3 linked regions of the Macaca mulatta genome follow. The protein of the gene in region 1 purifies or fractionates together with the protein of each later gene. This does not show direct contact. Links are inferred from orthologs where the notes say so. Each region holds a gene or a part of one and is shown on either strand. Other genes may lie near its edges. The genes, in order: ZNF830, PPIE and PPIL2.

Region 1 (5,805 bases):
ATGAGGTCTGAAGATTTCATAAGTCTTTGCTTCAGAATGCAATGACATTTCTAAAATAAGATTAAATCCTTCAATCTCAAAATGAATACATTTATTAAACTTGCAAAGGATATTTTTATTTTTCCATAATTACAAAGAACATAAGGCAGTACCCCAAAAGATATTATTAATTTATAAGTATGTCTAAGTATACAACATATGTATAAGTATACAAAGACTTGGAAAGAGCCAGAAAAAAAAACTCTTTTTTTTTTTTTTTTGAGACAGTGTTTCACTCTGTCACCCAGGCTGGAGTGCAGTGGCACGATCTCAAGTTCACTGCAGCCTTGGCCTCCTGGGCTCAAGTGATCCTCTTACCTCAGCCTCCTGAGTAGCTGGGACTACAGGCACATGCTACAACACTGAGCAAATTTCTTTTTTTTTTTTTTTTGTAGAGACGGGTTTCACCAAGCCTGGTCTTGAACTCCTGGGCTCAAGCAATTTGGCCACCTCAGCCTCCCAAAGTGTTGGGATTACAGGAGTGAGTTACCACACCCGGCCAAAAAAAATTTTTTTATTGAAGTCTAATTCAACAAGCATATCTCAAGACTCAAGACTGCAGTATTTAGCTGACAGCCTTGGCTTACAGATACACAAGTTCTACTATGCTCCTAATTAAGGCTTATTAAGGTTTATTAAAGTCAGCAGCATCAGCTCACCATCTCTTGGAGCAGCACATTGCCATCTTTGGTGAGTTTGATGTCACCTGCACCAGAAACAAGCCTGTTCAGAGAACAACGATATTAACTTCATGTGGTAGGAAGACACTCCCAGTGCTTGCCATCCCATTATCCTCAACAGAGGGAACTGGGCTTGGAAAACTACTGTACCATGGGAATATGCCATGGTAATTACCACCATTTGCAGCTCACAGAATCATTTCTCCCCAGATGGACAGCTTATGGCGATTTCATTCCAAATGGACCATTTACAGATTTAAAGATAAAAGCAGTTGATGAGTTATGAAAAGTGGTTTGGTCAAAGAATACTTGAAAGTCTACAAAGCACAAATCTGCAAATTTCCTGCAGGTTTTTATTTTGGTGAACGTTTTCATTCAGTCAGTCACTCTAGTTTCCCTCATCCCTGCATTTATTAGATCACCAAGTTCTATCAATTCTACTACCTAAATATCTCTTGAATCTGCCCCCTTCTCTCCATCTCCACTGTTATCATCTCTACCTTGGATAGCATCCAGTTATCTCCAAACTAAAATACACCCTCCACACATTTTTCTTTCTAAAAGGCAACGTGATTCAGTCAGTTCCCTGATCAAAAGTCCTCCAATGATTTTTATGTTTTTCATCATTTTCAAGTTAAAATCCAAACACAGCAGACACTTGACCTTTCTCAATCTGGTTTATGTCTCTCTTCCCTGACTCATCTACTTTCCCACAAGCAAATCTTCTGGTTCCCTTAATACACCATGTTTTGTTTTTTCTATTGGATTTGCACCATTGGTCTTTCTTATTCCTGAAATTACTCTGCCCAGAAGGCCTTTACTCCCTCTTCCAACCCAAGACTCTGATCAAACATCATTTAAGATGCTTGTCCTTCTGCCATCAGTAATTATTCCCTTTCCTCAGCATAATCATATGCATCTATATATAATTAGCACATCCTACTCTACCACATCCGTCTCTACCACATCTCCTTAAGAACAGAAACTGTATCTTGATCATTTCTGTGTCCCAGCAACTAGTACCTAAGTGACTTATTTTACCATTAATATTAATTTATTTTGTTCATTACTATGAGGATGTGTCTCTCCTCTTATACCCTTTTTTCCTCACTGGTCTCTTTTCCTCACTCTTGTCTAGAGAAAACGGTGCTTAATATATACTGAAAAGATGAATAGATATGAAGAACCACAGACACAGGGTATTAAGTAGAAATTGGATTTGACCTCATGCCCTCCTGGCTCCAAAGCCTGTGCCCTCTCCACTACAATACATTGCCACACAAAATACAAAACTAACTACTTGTTGAATTTATGGACTAAAGGTATACAGTCTTAAAGAGCAGAGAAGTTAAATGCTTTATGTTTCCAATAAGACACTAAATTAACTGACTTTCTAACTGCATATGAACCTTGACGAAAAGTAGGGTGTCGGGGGAGCGTCACAATTTCACTCCTGGGGCCTTCTAGGGGAGGCTTTTCTCCTCCACCTGCACCAGGCGAGAAATACCCTCAGGACAGGGATGAGAATGAGGGAAATCAAGCTCGCAAGAACATCCACAGCGCTCCACGGACGCCTGCCTCAGAGGGCTCCAGGACACCCAACAAGCCCCCGGCCGCCTAACGGCCGCTCCAACCGCCGTCTCACATTTTCATGGTGCCTTTAGGACCCAAGTTGGTCCGCAGCACATCCTGCAACCCTCGGGCGGCGCATATATTGACAGACAAAGCTGCCTGGGCCCGCGCCACCTCAGCCTTGGAGTTTACGGCCTTTATCGCAGCCATAGCCTAATCGTTCACAGGAAAAAAAAAAAAAGCCTTAGTCGCGCTTCTGAGCAAAAACGCCAACGCTACGCCACGCTCTCTTGAACCTCGGCCAATCATCGCCCTTACAGGAAGTGACATTATCAAGCCTCGCCGGACGGAAACCAGAATCGCTTTGGGTCTGGTCGCCAAGATGGCGTCCTCCGCCTCCGCCAGGACTCCGGCCGGGAAGCGAGTGGTAAATCAGGAAGAATTGCGGCGGTTAATGAAGGAGAAGCAGCGTCTGAGCACCAATCGGAAACGGATAGAATCTCCATTCGCGAAGTACAACCGTTTGGGGCAGCTGAGTTGTGCCCTGTGTAACACCCCGGTTAAGAGCGAGCTCCTGTGGCAGACTCACGTCCTGGGAAAGCAGCACCGAGAGAAAGTGGCCGAGCTGAAAGGCGCGAAGGAAGCCAGCCAGGGTTCGTCCGCCAGCTCAGCGCCTCAGACCGTCAAGAGGAAAGCGCCGGACGCAGACGGCCAAGACGCCAAGAGAGCGAAGGCCACCTTGGTGCCTCAGGTACAGCCCTCCACATCTGCGTTGCCCACCAACTTTGACAAAATAGGAAAGGAGTTCATTAGAACGACTTCCAGTAAGCCTTCAGGACTCAGTTTACTCCCCGATTATGAAGATGAGGAGGAGGAGGAAGAGGAGGAGGAAGGAGATGGAGAAAGAAAAAGGGGGGACGCCAGCAAGCCGCTGTCCGACGCACAGGGCAAGGAGCACTCAGTTTCTTCTTCGCGGGAGGTAACAAGTAGTGTGCTGCCAGACGATTTCTTTAGTACTAATCCTCCCAAGGCCCCCATAATTCCTCATTCAGGGTCAATTGAGAAAGCAGAAATACATGAAAAAGTGGTGGAAAGGAGAGAAAACACCGCGGAAGCGTTACCGGAAGGTTTTTTTGACGACCCTGAGGTAGATGCAAGGGTGCGAAAGGTTGATGCCCCAAAAGATCAGATGGACAAAGAGTGGGACGAATTCCAAAAAGCCATGAGGCAGGTCAACACTATTTCCGAAGCCATAGTTGCCGAAGAGGATGAGGAGGGACGGTTGGACCGCCAGATTGGGGAGATCGATGAGCAGATAGAGTGTTATCGACGGGTGGAAAAGCTACGGAATCGCCAGGATGAAATAAAAAATAAACTTAAAGAAATCCTGACCATAAAAGAACTGCAGAAAAAGGAAGAAGAGAATGCTGACAGCGATGATGAGGGGGAACTACAGGATTTGTTGTCTCAGGATTGGAGAGTGAAAGGGGCATTGTTATAAGGTTTTAAAGACCCAAGGTTTCTAACAGCCTCTGCTATTGTATAAAAGTGCTGTCTCTCAGTAGTATATCGGTTACTTCATGCCTAGAGATTTGGGTACCTGGATTGCTAAACTGGATTGTTAAGATAAAATGAGCCAGTGAGCTACAGCACTTTGGAAAATTTGTGTAAAATGTTTTTGAGGTAAAGTTGTTTTTGAAATTTCTGAAGTGTTATATACCAAAATGCCAACTGTTCCACAACAGACTTAACTGTATACTTTCGTTGTAAATATTGTACATAGTTAAATCTATATTAAGTAATTCTGTTTTGAATTTTTTTAAATTAATAGACCAACCGGCAAACTTTTAGATGAATGCTCACTGTGGTATTTGTAATGTATTTATCTTCTGAACCCTACATCAAGTTGAAAAGGTTTGTTTTCTTGTTTCTTTGGTTTTTTAAGAACACTTCATGAACACATAAGTCATTATAGGTTAATCAGTTCTCTTAGTATGCTTCATTTTAAAAACAGAAAAATATATGCCAAACACGATCAGCCTCCCTAAACCAGTTTCCCTGGACTAGACCAATGCTGCTCAGATGTGGTTGCACGTGAGAATCACCTATGAAGTATTAAAATAAATTCAAGTGTCTGAGGCCTTCCCCTTCAATAAATCTGGGATGAGGTCCAGGCAACTGTGTTTTTTAAAGCTCCCAGGTTATTCCAATATATGCCAGGATTTAAAGAGTAACTGCCCTAAATCCAGAACCCATTTATGTTTTTCTTTAAATAACATTCCATAAATTTGCTGTTTCTTGAATGAAGGAAATATTATCTTTTATTTATTTCATCCAGCCTTAAATTTTGTTATTTGGTGGTAAATTAGAGTTCCTTGTTTGCAGGTCCTATCTATTGTAGAAAGAATATTTAAGTTGTCTTTCCAGCAGTAACAGTTGGCTCTTGCTGGTCATTGATAGTTTAAATCACTCCTTCCTTTAGAGATTGAGGTACTCAAATAGGAAAAGGGACTTAGCAGTGTTCTGGAGTAGAAATGCATACAGCATATTCAAATAAAAGTGAGCAATAATAATAATAGCTAAGACCTATATAGTTCTTAGTATGGGCCAGGTATGGTTGTAAGTGCTTTACATATATTAACTCAATCTAGTTTCCCTAAATTCCTTTTTTATGGAGAGGAGTACCAAGAGATAAGGTTTGAAAAGCTTTGAATGCTAAGTGAAAACTTTTTATGAAGTTCATATGAAAATGGAGGTTTTGAGCGAAGAATGACATCTGCAAAGAAATATCATGGAACATTAACAGTATATAGAATGGAATGAACACAGGGTAGAAGGAAACTAGGAGCTATTTGAAAACTATATTTTCAAAAGCGAGGTGACAAGACTGATTAGCTGTGGATTGGGAGAAAAGGAATAGAAGTGAAAGATTTTCAAAGGAATAGCTAAATTTTAGTGACTAGAAGTGGAAGAAGAAAAACAGGAGGGATAAGTACAGAATTCAAGATTTTGTATTTAGTGTCACTGCCTAAAAGGATTTATCTAACACTTATTGAACAGTTGCTGTGTACCACAAATTATTATTAATAATTGTCCTGCTGCCTTTGGCAGTCTTCTTCCTTGAGCTGCTAGCTGATCAGTGATAGCAGCTTCCATTTGATGAGACATGGCTTGCTTGCCTCAAATGTGTGAACCCACTGTTACTCAGAATTTTCCCTTCATTCATCACTATTACGCCAGGAAGAAAGTACAAATATAGGTTTGAATGGTGGGCCCAGTATTGCCTTGGCTAACAATCTAGTGGAGTACTGTCCACTAAAGATATAATGCCGCTGGGTGTGGTGGCTCATGCCTATAATCCTAGCACTTTGGGAATCCGAGGCGGGTGGATCACTTGACCTCAGAAGTTCAAGACCAGCCTGGGCAACATGGCAAAACCCCATCTCTACAAAAAATACAAAAAAAAAAAAATTATCTGGGTGTGGTGGCATGCACCTGTAGTCCCAGCTACTTG
Region 2 (5,795 bases), on another chromosome or scaffold:
GGAGAAACCCCGTCTCTACTAAAAATACAAAATTAGCTGGGCATGGTGGCGCGTGCCTGTAATCCCAGCTACTTGGAAGGCTGAGGCAGGAGAATCACTTGAACCCGGGAGGCGAAGGTTGCGATGAGCCAAGATGGCGCCATTGCACTCCAGCCTAGGCAACAAGAGTGAAACTCCATCTCAAAAAAAAGAAGAAAAAAATCTTCATCTTAGTACTCTTGTTCCCTCTCCAGCTATCACCCATGCCTCTGGTCCCCCATCTTTTTTCAAGAAGTAAAAGCATAACTTCTTGAAAGCATGGTACAGACTTGCTGCCTTCGCGTTTTCTCTAATCCCTTTTAGCCAGACTTCTAGTCCCATCTCGCCATTGAAACCACTCTTCAAAGATACCAGTAGCCAGTTCTTGGCGATTATCTTATCCCACCTCCCAGATGTTATCCCATCTCCCAGGAGCATTTCATACTACAGGTTGAATGTCCCTTTCTTGAAATGCTTGGGACCAGAAGTATTTTGTATTTTGAAATATTTGCATTATATTTACCAGTTGAGCATCCCAAATTGGAATATCTCAAATCTGAAATGCTCCAGTGAGCATTTCCCTTTGAGCATCATGTCGGTGCTCACGAAGTTTCAGATTTTGGAGCATTTTGGATTTTCACATTTGGGATGCTCAGCCTATACTAACTCTGTGCTCCTTGATTCCTTCACTTGGCTGGCAGGACTCCTGCCTCTTCTTGTCTCCTTTTACCTAGATGGCTGCTTTGTCTGTCTTTGCTGTCTCCTTCTTTTCCTGACCCTTAAACACTGAAGTGGCTCAGAGCCCATTCTTTTGTTCTCCAGAAGCCTGTTACCCTGTGCTCCGTTTTTCTAACTGGTGGTTTGTAGAGCCCCTCTTTACTATACTGAACCGATATGTGTAGGTGATATAGCCCACTGACCCACACCATTATTTTAAAACTCAATATATCTGTAACTATAGTAGGGAAGAACATCAGAGGAAATAAATGAATTTGCATAGTAATCGAATGTGTTTCCAGATGTACATGCTTAAGCACAGCTGTGTCAGAACACAAAGTGAATTATTCAGGCGTCTGCACCTGTACTCAAATGCAGAGTTAGAAGTGTAGACGGGAGTGTCAACTGATAACTTGGATACCACTAGCAATGATGCTATTGGTGATACGACTTTGTGAAATGGTAAATAAAGTTGATTAGATTCCAAAGTAAAGAATAATCTGTTTATTTACATAGTAGTTACATTCCTAGAAGATTCCATGCAAAACCAAAAGAACTCCAAAACTTTGGGCTTATATGTATAATGCAATTATGTTTTAGGTGCAGATAACTGTAAACACATTTTTTCCCTATACCGATATCTAATGGGCTATTCGTTGTTTTGTTGTTGTTTGGTTTTTGTTTTTTTGAGATAGGGTCTCTGTTGCTCAGGCTGGAGTGCAGTGGTGCAAGACAGCTCACTGTAGCCTCAACCTCTCCAGCTAAAGCAGTCCTCCTGCCTAAGCCTCCCAAACAGCTGGGATTACAGGTGCACGCCATCCATAATGCCCGGCTAATTTTTAAGTTTTTTTGTAGAGATGAGGTTTCATTGTATTGCTCAGGCTAGTCTGGAACTCTTAGCTTCAAGTGATCCTCCCACTTCAGCCTCCCAAAGTGCTGGGATTACAGGCATTAGCCACTGCACCCAATCTCTAGCAGGATGTTTGAAAGACCAAGAGGATATGAGACAATTCATTGTGCCAGACATTGCAGAACATCTAGCATTCCAGGCCCCCACCTGCTAAATGGCAGTAGCCCCCCGCACAGTGTTTCACACAGTCAAAAACACTTTCAAGCCAGGCATGGTGGCTCATGTCTGTAATCCCAACACTTTGGGAGTCTGAAGTGGCAGCCCAAAGCCAGACGATCACGTGAGTTCAGGAGTTTGAGACCAGCCTGGGCAACATAGTGAGACCCCTGTCTCTACCAAAAAAAGAATTAAAAAATTATCCAGGTGTGGTGGTACATGCCTGTAGTCTCAGCTGCTTGGGAGCTGAGGTGAGAGGATTGCTTGCGCCCCAGAGATTGAGGATGCAGTGAGCTGCGATCATACCACTGCACTCCAGCCTGGGTGACAGAGTGATCCCCATCTCAAAAAAAATAAATTCAGATTTCCAAAGGTTTCCTAGGGACAGGACACCAACCCCACTGAGAAGCAGTGCCCTAGGCAGTCACACCCGGTCCCAGAGCTTTCAGCAGTATCTCTGAGTTAAGCTTGTGCACATTGGCGTCTGCATGCTGATGGCTCCCTGAGCTCCAGACTCCTGTCCAGCTGTCTTTACTGGATATCCTGGGAGCATCTCACACTTCACACGTCTAAAACAGCTCTTGGCCTTCTCCCCGAAACTCTTCCTCTTCCCCCTCTTCTCTGTTTCAATAAATGACTCCACCGCTTGATCAGAAACTTAGGAGTCATTGTGGACACATACACACACACATACATACATGTACACAGACACACACATATATATGTACATTCTCTTATGTGACAAATGTCCATGTTACCAGGCCTCACTGTGTCATAGCTGTCATTTTGAATGGCTCTTTTCCACTGACTGTGAGCTCCACCAGAGCTTGGACTATGTTCAGCTCATCAGTGTTCCCAGGGCTTAACAGGGACCTGGTTGCCAAGTAGACACTTAATTGTTAAATAAATGAATTACTGAACGAACAGACCAGTGTAAAGTGATTGAAACACCTCATTCACCATTTCACTGACTATTAACTGAATCAAAGACAAGGTGGCCACATTTGCATGTTGTCTATGCATCCCGGAGTCTGAGCCTGCCTGACTGAAGGGCTGTCGACAGCCTGCACAGACGTCCATTAAGGGCTGGTAGCCAGGGTTGGGGGAGCTGATGGTTGTTCTGTCCCCCAGGTCTACTCTCCATGGCCAACTCTGGCCCAAACACCAATGGCTCCCAGTTCTTCCTGACATGTGACAAAACAGACTGGCTGGATGGCAAGCACGTGGTGTTTGGAGAGGTCACCGAAGGCCTAGATGTCTTGCAGCAAATTGAGGTATGTGGCCAGGAATGGGCCTCCTCCTCACCCAGGCCCTTGGAGCACAGCCCTGTGGGAGGGCTGGAAAGGCTCTGTGGCCTCAGAGAGATGGCCAGGGGCTGTGTCCAGCGGGAGGGGCTGCTGCTGCCCAGGTTCTGGGGTGGAAGTGGGCATATGGGCAGGCAGGGGTTGGCATCCCGAAACTACTGTTAGTTTCCCGCCTTACTCCCTCACTTCTGTTCTGCCCACAAAGGCCCAGGGCAGCAAGGACGGGAAGCCAAAGCAGAAGGTGATCATCGCCGACTGTGGGGAGTACGTGTGAGGCGGCACTCTCTGCTTCCCCCTCCGCTCTTGCCCCTGCACATCCAGGAAGGAGCTGCCAGCCTCAGAGGAGGCAGCACCGAGGGTGCCTGTTTGAAGCAAGCAGCATTTGGTGTATGAGCCCTTCCTCAGGGTCCGCTTGGAGTAGCTCCTCTGCAGGCACAGCCTGGACTATTCCCAAGCGCGGCTGTGGGCCCAGGAGCCAGCGCAGGTGCTCCCCTCCACCATGGGCAGGCTGTGTAAAAAGCCACTGGCTTTTCTCAGCATTTGCTGCTGGGCCTGTCCTGGGACTACCAGTGTGGCTCTTAGGTGTTTTCTTTGCTAAAATAAACCCTTGTTCTTATGCTGCTGCCTCCTGCTAGTTCTTGGGAGTTGCCAGAGATAGTGTCTGTGGCTAAGCTGGACCTCTGAGGCAGGCTGGTGAGTGGGGAGAGCAGAGTATCTTTCCACAGCTTTCATTTCCTCCCTTGGGCTGATCCCCTTAGATGTCAGGTGATGTATCTTCACACCAGGCATCCGTGTCAGGGCAACGGAAATTAAAGACTATGGAAGGTTTGGTCTTCTGCTACCTCTGCTCCCAAACCCAGGTGCCAGTCTTACAGCCAGCAAGTATACTCTCAGTGGTTCGTTTGTTTGTTCACTTTCGCCCTACAGATTTTAAAAAATGAAATTTTTATAACTCAGAGTGCCTTCTCTGTGCCAAGTACTATGCCTGTTTGTCAGGAAACATAAGGCCAACAAACTACATGTGCCTAATCCAGCCCACTGCCTGTTTTTATGAATCAGGTTTTATTGGAACACAGCCACATCCATTTGTTTACATATTGTCCATGGTGGTTTCTCACTGCAGTGTCAAAATTGAGTAGTAGACACAATGCAGGCTATGGTCCCTGTATTAGGGTTTTCTAGAGAAGCAGAACCAATAGGATGTGTATATATGTAGAGAGAGAGATTTATTTTAAGGAACTGGCTCAGGCAGTTGTGGGAGCTGGCAGATCTGGAATCTGCACAACAGGCCAGCAGGCTGGAGACTCAGGAAAAAAACTGATGTTGCAGTGCAAGTCTGAGGCACTTTGGAAGCAGAATTCTTCCTCTAGTGATCTCAGTCTTTTTTCTCTTAAGAATTTCAACTGATTGGATGAAGCCTACTCACATTATGGAGGGTAATCTGCTTTACTTTCTACTGACTTAAATATGAATCCATCTAAAAAATAGGCCAGGCAACTATTGGGAGGCTGAGGCAGGAGGATCACTTGAGCCCAGGAATTCAAGACCAGCCTGGGCAATGTAGTGAGACCCCCATCTCTAGGGGGGGAAAAAAAAAAGCCAGGTATGGTGGTGTACGCCTGTAGTCCCAGCTACTCAGAAGGCTGAGGTGAGAGGATCACTTGAACCTGGGAGGTTGAGCCACGGTCATGCCACTGTACTCCAGCCTGGGTGACAGAGTGAGACCCTGTCTCGAAAAAAAGAAACCATCATCACAGCAACATCTAGACTAGTGTTTGACTAAAAACTGGATACCATGGCCTAGTCAAATTGACACACAAAATAGACCATCACAGTCCCAAGGCCTAAAATACTATCTGAGCCTTTACAAAACAGGATTGCTGGCCACTGAAGAGAACAAATGGTCCCACCCCCGGCTGGGCTCACAGTCTGGCTCTCCTGTGTGCAGCCACTTCTTGGAGCTGGCTTCTCTCCATTCCCCTCCAGGTGCTGGTCAGCCAGGCGCTTGTAAAGAATCTCATCTGCTGAAGGCTCTTAGCAGGGACTGAGCCCTGTAGCTGCTGGACACCTCCTGTGGGTTGGGTCGCTCAGACCATTCAGAATCCACTGAGCTGAGCTTTTGCATCTTGGATTGAGATCTGAATGAGCCGCGAGGCAGGAGAGGCCCCCTGGTCCTCATGAGCCTAGGATAGCTCCTGCTGAGGGATGTTGGCATTCTGGCCCTGCCTGTGGCTCCCATGTGCCGACTGGACTTTCTGAGCTCCAACTGCTACAGTTGGCTGAGTTTCGGGCTCCAGGTAGCTGGGATGTACCACGTGGTTACCCCTCACCCCTGTGGAGCTTCCAAAAGAGACTGTCCCTCAAAGCACAGCTCCTTCTCAGTGCAAATTATGGCCATCAGAGGTCAGTCACAGGTGTTAGGCAGGCATCTATGAAGCTGGGGATGATAGCACTGACTTCAGTGCTTGGATGAGAACCAAGAGAGAGTGTGTAGAAAAAGCACAGCCAGCCTCCCATAAAAGGACAGACTCCTGTGACAATTTTGTCACTCTGTTCCTCCCTGATATTCTGGGGAGGTGGAGGCCAGTGGGCAGTTCTGAAAGCTCAGCAGGTTTGGAGCCACTGGGTGTGGACTTCTCTCTCAGTGCTCCACCTGGGTGTCCACAGATGTTATTCAATGCACACTGGAA
Region 3 (6,465 bases), on another chromosome or scaffold:
CCCGCCACCACGCCTGGCTAATTTTTTTTTTCTTAGATGGGGTTTCATCATGTTGGCCAGGATGGTCCTGATCTCCGTCTCAAAAAATAATAATAAATCTTCAATTTCACCAATAACAACAGATGCAAAATACTCCATCAAATGGGTGGAACATCATTTACTCAACTGTTTTTTCTTTTTTTTTTTTCTGAGATGGAGTCTCACTCTGTCGCCCAGGCTGGAGTGTACTGACGCATCTCCGTTCACTGCAAGCTCCGCTTCTCAGGTTCATGCCTTTCTCCTGCCTCAGCCTCCTGAGTAGTTGGAACTACAGGCGCCCGCCACCACGCCCGGATAATTTTTTGTATTTCTAGTAGAGAGAGGGTTTCACCCTGTTAGCCAGGATGGTCTCCATCTCCTGACCTCGTGATCCACCCGCCTCGGCCTCCCAAAACTCTGGGATTACAGGCGTGAGCGACCGTGCCCGGCCTCAACTGTTCTTGCTTGTTGAAATATTTCTCCAATGGGGTCAATTTTTAGGTTATTGGTGCATTGTATTTTCTGACTGAGTCATCATGGTGCATCACCACAAATGGGTTATTTTTAATTGGTTTGTATTTATTTGTTTGCTCACTTATTTAGAGACAGAGTTTTGCTCTGTTGCCAAGGCTGGAGTGCAGTGGCACGATCTCGGTTCACTGCAACCTCCGCCTCCCGGGTTCAAGCGATTACCATGCCTCAGCCTCCTAAGGAGCTGGGATCACAGGCACATGCCACCATGCCCAGCTAATTTTTGTATTTTTAGTAGAGATGGGGTTTCACCATGTTGGCCAGACTGGTCTTGAACTTCTGTCCTCAGGTGATCCACCTGCCTCAGCCTCCCAAAGTGCTGGAATTACAGGCATGAGCCACTGCATCCGGCCTTAATTGGTTTTTAAACTTCTACAAATGCAGACCATGTTCCATGGAAAAAAGTTCACAATACAGAAGTGAATACAGAAAATACGAGTCCACTGCTGCTATGAGTTTCATGTGTACCCTTCCAAATGTTTTGTCTCTGCACACAAACACACACACATACATTAAAATTTTAACCCAAGTACGAGTCACATTGCACGTTCTTCTCAGCAACTTGCTTTTTTCCATAAATAAAACACTGAGATGTCTTTACTTCTTGGGATATCTACTTCATTCCTTTAAGCAGTTCCAAAATAGTCCACTGCATGGCTGTACCAGGGGTCGTTTAGCTGTGTTCTCATAGACATTTGTTTCCAGTTTTTTTTTTTTCTTTGAGACAGAGTCTTGTTCTGTCACCCCAGGCTGGAGTACAATGGCACAATCTTGGCTCACTGCAACCTCTGCCTCCTGGGTTCAAGTGATTCTCACTGCCTCAACCTCCTGAGTAGCTGGAACTACAGGCACCCGCCACCACACCCGGCTAATTTTTGTATTTTTAGTAGAGACAGGGTTTTGCAATGTTGGCCAGGCTAGTCTTGAACTCCTGACCTCAAGTGATCCGCTTGCCTCAGCCTCTCCAAGTGCCGGGATTACAGGTGTGAGCCACCACGTCCGTCCAGACATGTTAAATTTGAGATCAGCGGCTACCCAAGTGGAGATCAGGAACCTGGAGTACTGGTGACTTAGTATTGGGAGTCATGGGATATAAATGGCGTTTAAAATTAGGAGCCTAGGCAAGATTACCCCGGGCCTGAGTGTAGTTGGGGGCCCAAGGTACTGTTCTGACCCAAGGCAAGAGTCTGGCAGAAGAGAAGGAAGGGATCAGGCAGGGTTTTGGACCTCTAGGCTTGATGGCCACCTGCTGCTGGGCCTCCAAGGGGCCTGGAGGCGGTGCGGACGGAATATGCAGAGAGAATGAGAAGTGAGCGAGTAGAACGAGGGTGGTACATGGCTTTGAAGGAGTCGGCCACGGAGGCGGGAAAGGATGGGGTGGAGGCTCATGAGACTTGAAGCTCTAGGAGGACATTGAAAAAGACCTGAGCGCTGGCCGGGCGCGGAGGCTCAGGCCTGTAATCCCAGCACTTTGGGAGGCCAAGGCGGGAGGACTGCTTGAGCTCAAGAGCTCCAGACCAGCCTGGGCAAAATAGTAAGAGCTTGTCTCTACAAAAAATTAACATATTAGCCGGGTGTGGTGGCGCGTGCCCGTAGCTACTCGGGAGGCTGAGGTGGGAGAATCGCTTGAGCCTGGGAGGTCGAGGCTGTAGTGAGCTGTGATTGCGCCACTGCACTCCAACCTGGGCGACAGAGCGAGATCCTGTCTCGAAAATAAAATAAGACCTGAGAACCCAGTATGGGAATGGCCCTGAGCCGTGGCTGAGGGGGGCAGGCGAGGCGGTCGGGAGAGACCCTTCGAGAAGATGGGGCTTCGAGGCTGAGGGAGCTCTGCCCCGAGAAGGCGCCAGCGAGACACAACACACCTAGCTAGGACCCCATACTGGGCAGGCGATCCTTCCGAGCATGCGCACCTGGCGCTAGCGAACCACAATTCCCAGCACGCCAAGCGCCTGTTTCCGGGGCGAGCCGCGGAACCCGGAAGTGGTCACGAAACTCGGCCGTGGCTCCATGGTCTGAGTGGTCAGCGGTTGCTTTTTCGTGCTAGGTAGTTGCCGCCGCCGCCGCGCCGCCATGGGGAAGCGACAGCACCAGAAGGACAAGATGTAAGTTGAGTCGCAGTCGGGAGTGGCGCTCCGCTCTGCCTCAGTAAACCGCCTGTCCCGCCCTGCTCGCCGCTCGCCTTCCCTCTCAGCTGGTCCCCAGAGCCCAGCCCAAAAGTCACTTCCTCCCGGAAGCTGCCACCGTCTCTCCAGTCAGGGTAATGACCCTCGGGCCGCCGCGCTCTCCCAGGGGGCCGCGGCTCCGAAGACGTCAGCTGCGGGCTCGAGCGCAGCCCGGTCTTTCTTTACTCTAGTTCTGCCCGGACCGTGCCCCGTCTGCTCGCGAGCTTTGCCCCTGTAGTCTCTCCCTCTTCCGTACTTCGCGTCTGGCTGTGTTCTGGTTCATGCCTATCAGCCTGCACACGTGCTGCAGAGCCTTCCTATTTAAAGCAAACCAGGCCGGGCGCGGTGGCTCACCTGTAATCCCAGCACTTTGGGAGGCTGAGGCGGGCGGATCACCTGAGGTCAGGAGTTCAAGACCAGCCTGGCCACCATGATGAAACCCCGTCTCTACCCAAAACACAAAAATTAGCGGGGCGTGGTGGCGGGCGCCTGTAATCCTAGCTACTCGGGAGGCTGAGGCAGGAGAATCGCTTGAACCCGGGAGGCGGAGATTGCCGTGAGCCGAGATCGTGTCACTGCACTCCAGCCTGGGCGACAGAGCCAGACTCTGTCTCAAAAATAATAAATAAAATAAAACAAAAAAATCCGCCTATGCCCCGTGCCCCGCGTTCCCCTCCTGCTGCCGCCGTGATTTCAGAACAAGTTAGAGACCCGTGGCTTCATGCTGTTTTCTGAGTCTCTTGAAACCACTCAAGTCAGAATTTCGATCCCAGAACTGCCCCTTGTCAGGTTGCCAGCGACTTCTTGTTGCTAACTCTAGTATTCAATCCTCAGTCCTCGTGTTTTTTTTGAGACGGAGTTTCGCTCTTGTTGCCCATGCTGGGGAGTGCAGTGGTGCGATCTCGGCTTTCCGCAACCCCCGCTTCCCAGGTTCAAGCGATTCTCCTGCTTCAGCCTCCCGAATAGCTGGGATTACAGGCATGTGCCCCCAGGCCCGGCTAATTTTGTATTTTTAGTAGAGAAGGGGGTTTCTCCATGTTGGTCAGGCTGGTCTCGAACTCCGATCTCAGGTGATCCGCCCGCCTTGGCCTCCCAAAGTACTGGGATTATAGGCGAGCCACCGCGCCAGGCAGCCTCAGTCCTCATTTTGTTGGGGTTCTCAACAGTATGTCACACTGTTAACCACTCCCTCCTTCTGAAGCCCTCCTTTGGTATCTGAGATTTCCTGTGCTCTTTGTTTTCCATCGACTTCAGCGGCCTCTCTTTTCCCAGCCTCCTTTCTGGACCCTCCTCCCTTTTCTCAGATCTCATAGGTTTCTTTTCCATAAACATTCTCTGTGAGTGATATAATTTCCCAGTCATCTATAAGCTGCTTTCCCCAGTCTTGTGTAGTTAGTGGCTTACTTGATATCTCCACTGGAGGACTGATAAACATCTCAATTTTTTTTTTTTTTTTTTTTTTTTTTTTTTTTTTGAGACGGGAGTCTCAGGCTGTTGCCCAGGCTGGAGTGCAGTGGCGCGATCTCGGCTCACTGCAAGCTCCGCCTCCTGGGTTCACGCCATTCTCCTGCCTCAGCCTCCTGAGTAGCTGGGACTACAGGCGCCCGCCACCGCGCCCGGCTAATTTTTTGTATTTTTAGTAGAGACGGGGTTTCACTGTGGTCTCGATCTCCTGACCTCGTGATCCGCCCGTCTCGGCCTCCCAAAGTGCTGGGATTACAGGCTTGAGCCACCGCGCCCGGCCTCAATTTTTTTTTTTTTTGAGATGGAGTCTTGCTGTGTTGCCCAGGCTGGAGTGCAATGGTGCGATCTTGGCTCACTGCAACCTCTACTTCCCAGATTCAAGCGATTCTCCCACCTCCGCCTCCCCAGTAGCTGAGATTACAGGCGCCTGCCACCATGCCCGGCTAATTTTTGTATTTTTAGTAGAGACAGGTTTCACCATGTTGGCCAGGCTGGTATCAAACTCCTGACCTCGGGTGATCCACACGCCTCTGCCTCCCAAAGTGCTGGGATTACAGGCATGAGCCACCGTGCCCTCAAATTTAATATGCCTTAAACAGAACTCTTGATTTTCAGCTCCTGAGCCTGCTCCTCCCTGTAAGCTAAAAATAAAATCCTAAATCCCCTTACTGGCTGAGCAGACACCCTTGTGCCTAAGAGAACTCCAGGAAAACCTTAAAACTGAGTTCCTGGCCATGATGCGATGGAGGTCAGCTGTACCTTGTTATATCTTCCTCCCTTTTGTGGCCCAGACACAACAACTGACTGGCATTAACGTTGAAATAGAGATCATAAAGGGGCCCGGCGCGGTGGCTCGCACCTGTAATCCCAGCACTTTGGGAGGCTGAGGTGGTGGATCATGAGGTCAGGAGATCGAGACCATCCTGGTTAACATGGTGAAACCCCGTCTCTACTAAAAATACAAAAAAAAAAAAAATTAGCCGAGCGTGGTGGCTAATTTTTAATAAAAATAAAGAAATAGAAATAAGATTGATGAAACAGACTCTTTGTGGCAATAAGATACCAAATTATAAATAGAACCTATAGTCATGCCAGACAACTTCCCTGGTTAAGTTACCCACCCCTACGCCTAAAGAATAAACTATATCCTTTTTTTTTTTTTTTTTTTTTTTTTTTTTTTTTTTTTTTTGAGACAAGTCTTACTCTGTCGCCCAGGCTGGAGTATAGTGGTGCGATCTCGGTTCACTGCAACGTCTGCCTCCCAGGTTCAAGCAATTCTCTGCCTCAGCCTCCTGAGTAGCTGGGATTACAAGCACCCACCATCACGCCCAGCGAATTTTTTTTTTTTTTTTTTTTTTTTTTTTTTTGAGACGGAGTCTCACTCTGCTGCCCAGGCTAGAGTGCAGTGCAGTGGCCGGATCTCAGCTCACTGCAAGCTCCGCCTCCCGGGTTTACGCCATTCTCCTGCCTCAGCCTCCCGAGTAGCTGGGACTACAGGCGCCCGCCATGTCGCCCGGCTAGTTTTTCGTATTTTTTTAGTAGAAACGGGGTTTCACCGTGTTAGCCAGGATGGTCTCGATCTCCCGACCTCGTGATCTGCCCGTCTTGGCCTCCCAAAGTGCTAGGATTACAGGCTTGAGCCACCGCGCCCGGCCGCCCAGCGAATTTTTGTAATTTTAGTAGAGACGCGGTTTCACCTTGTTGGCCAGGCTTGTCCCAAACTCCTGACCTCTAGTGATTCACCCACCTCGGGCTCCCAAAGTGTTGGGATTACAGGCATTAACCACCATGCCCGTCCCATGCTTATAGGTGTTTAATAAGCATATGCGGAATAAGCAAAGATTACTCACTTCCAAAGACTTTGTTCTCTGTATAAAGGTGGTGGTCATAGCATTATCTTCCTCTCTTCTTCAGGTACATTACTTGTGCTGAATATACTCACTTTTATGGTGGCAAGAAGCCAGGTAAGGCTTGCGGTCTTTCTGTTCCCCGTTGGGGGAGTGGTATTAAGGAACAGTGTCTTCAGGATACAGTGAGCTGTAAAAATAGACAACAAGAACACGGAAACTGTGGTAGACAAATGGGCCGAGGACAGTTCACGAAAGAGAAATATATTCAAGAAAGAAGAACATGCTTCTTCTTAGTGGTGGTTTTTGTAAAATGTAGATTAAAATATTCCCCAATGCTGGGAGCTAAGTAAAAAATAAGTAAATAAAATACAAAATTACATCTACATTTAAATGTTTTTTCTCTATTAAGTTTATAAGGAGTCCGGGCGCGGTGGCTT

The links.
Region 2: the proteins of ZNF830 (region 1) and PPIE purify together in Homo sapiens (affinity purification with mass spectrometry; 3 studies listed by BioGRID and IntAct, counting the BioPlex papers as one, with this or other methods). This does not show direct contact. The link is inferred for Macaca mulatta from reciprocal best matches to the Homo sapiens genes ZNF830 and PPIE.
Region 3: the proteins of ZNF830 (region 1) and PPIL2 purify together in Homo sapiens (co-immunoprecipitation; 4 studies listed by BioGRID and IntAct, counting the BioPlex papers as one, with this or other methods). This does not show direct contact. The link is inferred for Macaca mulatta from reciprocal best matches to the Homo sapiens genes ZNF830 and PPIL2.

What each region holds. Positions count from the first base shown.
Region 1 is NC_133421.1:44,480,070-44,485,874, forward strand, and holds ZNF830 (zinc finger protein 830), read left to right. Parts: upstream 1-2,646; 5' UTR 2,647-2,673; coding exon 2,674-3,792; 3' UTR 3,793-4,207; downstream 4,208-5,805. Other genes in the region: CCT6B (T-complex protein 1 subunit zeta-2), read right to left, coding at 699-762, 2,365-2,501.
Region 2 is NC_133406.1:201,027,858-201,033,652, reverse strand, and holds part of PPIE (peptidyl-prolyl cis-trans isomerase E), read left to right. Parts: intron 1-2,932; coding exon 2,933-3,075; intron 3,076-3,310; coding exon of another isoform or gene 3,311-3,379; exon of another isoform or gene 3,380-3,721; intron 3,722-5,795. UniProt on the Homo sapiens protein: Involved in pre-mRNA splicing as component of the spliceosome. Combines RNA-binding and PPIase activities.
Region 3 is NC_133415.1:31,326,177-31,332,641, reverse strand, and holds the start of PPIL2 (RING-type E3 ubiquitin-protein ligase PPIL2), read left to right. Parts: upstream 1-2,531; 5' UTR 2,532-2,622; coding exon 2,623-2,654; exon of another isoform or gene 2,655-2,697; intron 2,698-6,092; coding exon 6,093-6,142; intron 6,143-6,465. UniProt on the Homo sapiens protein: Has a ubiquitin-protein ligase activity acting as an E3 ubiquitin protein ligase or as an ubiquitin-ubiquitin ligase promoting elongation of ubiquitin chains on substrates.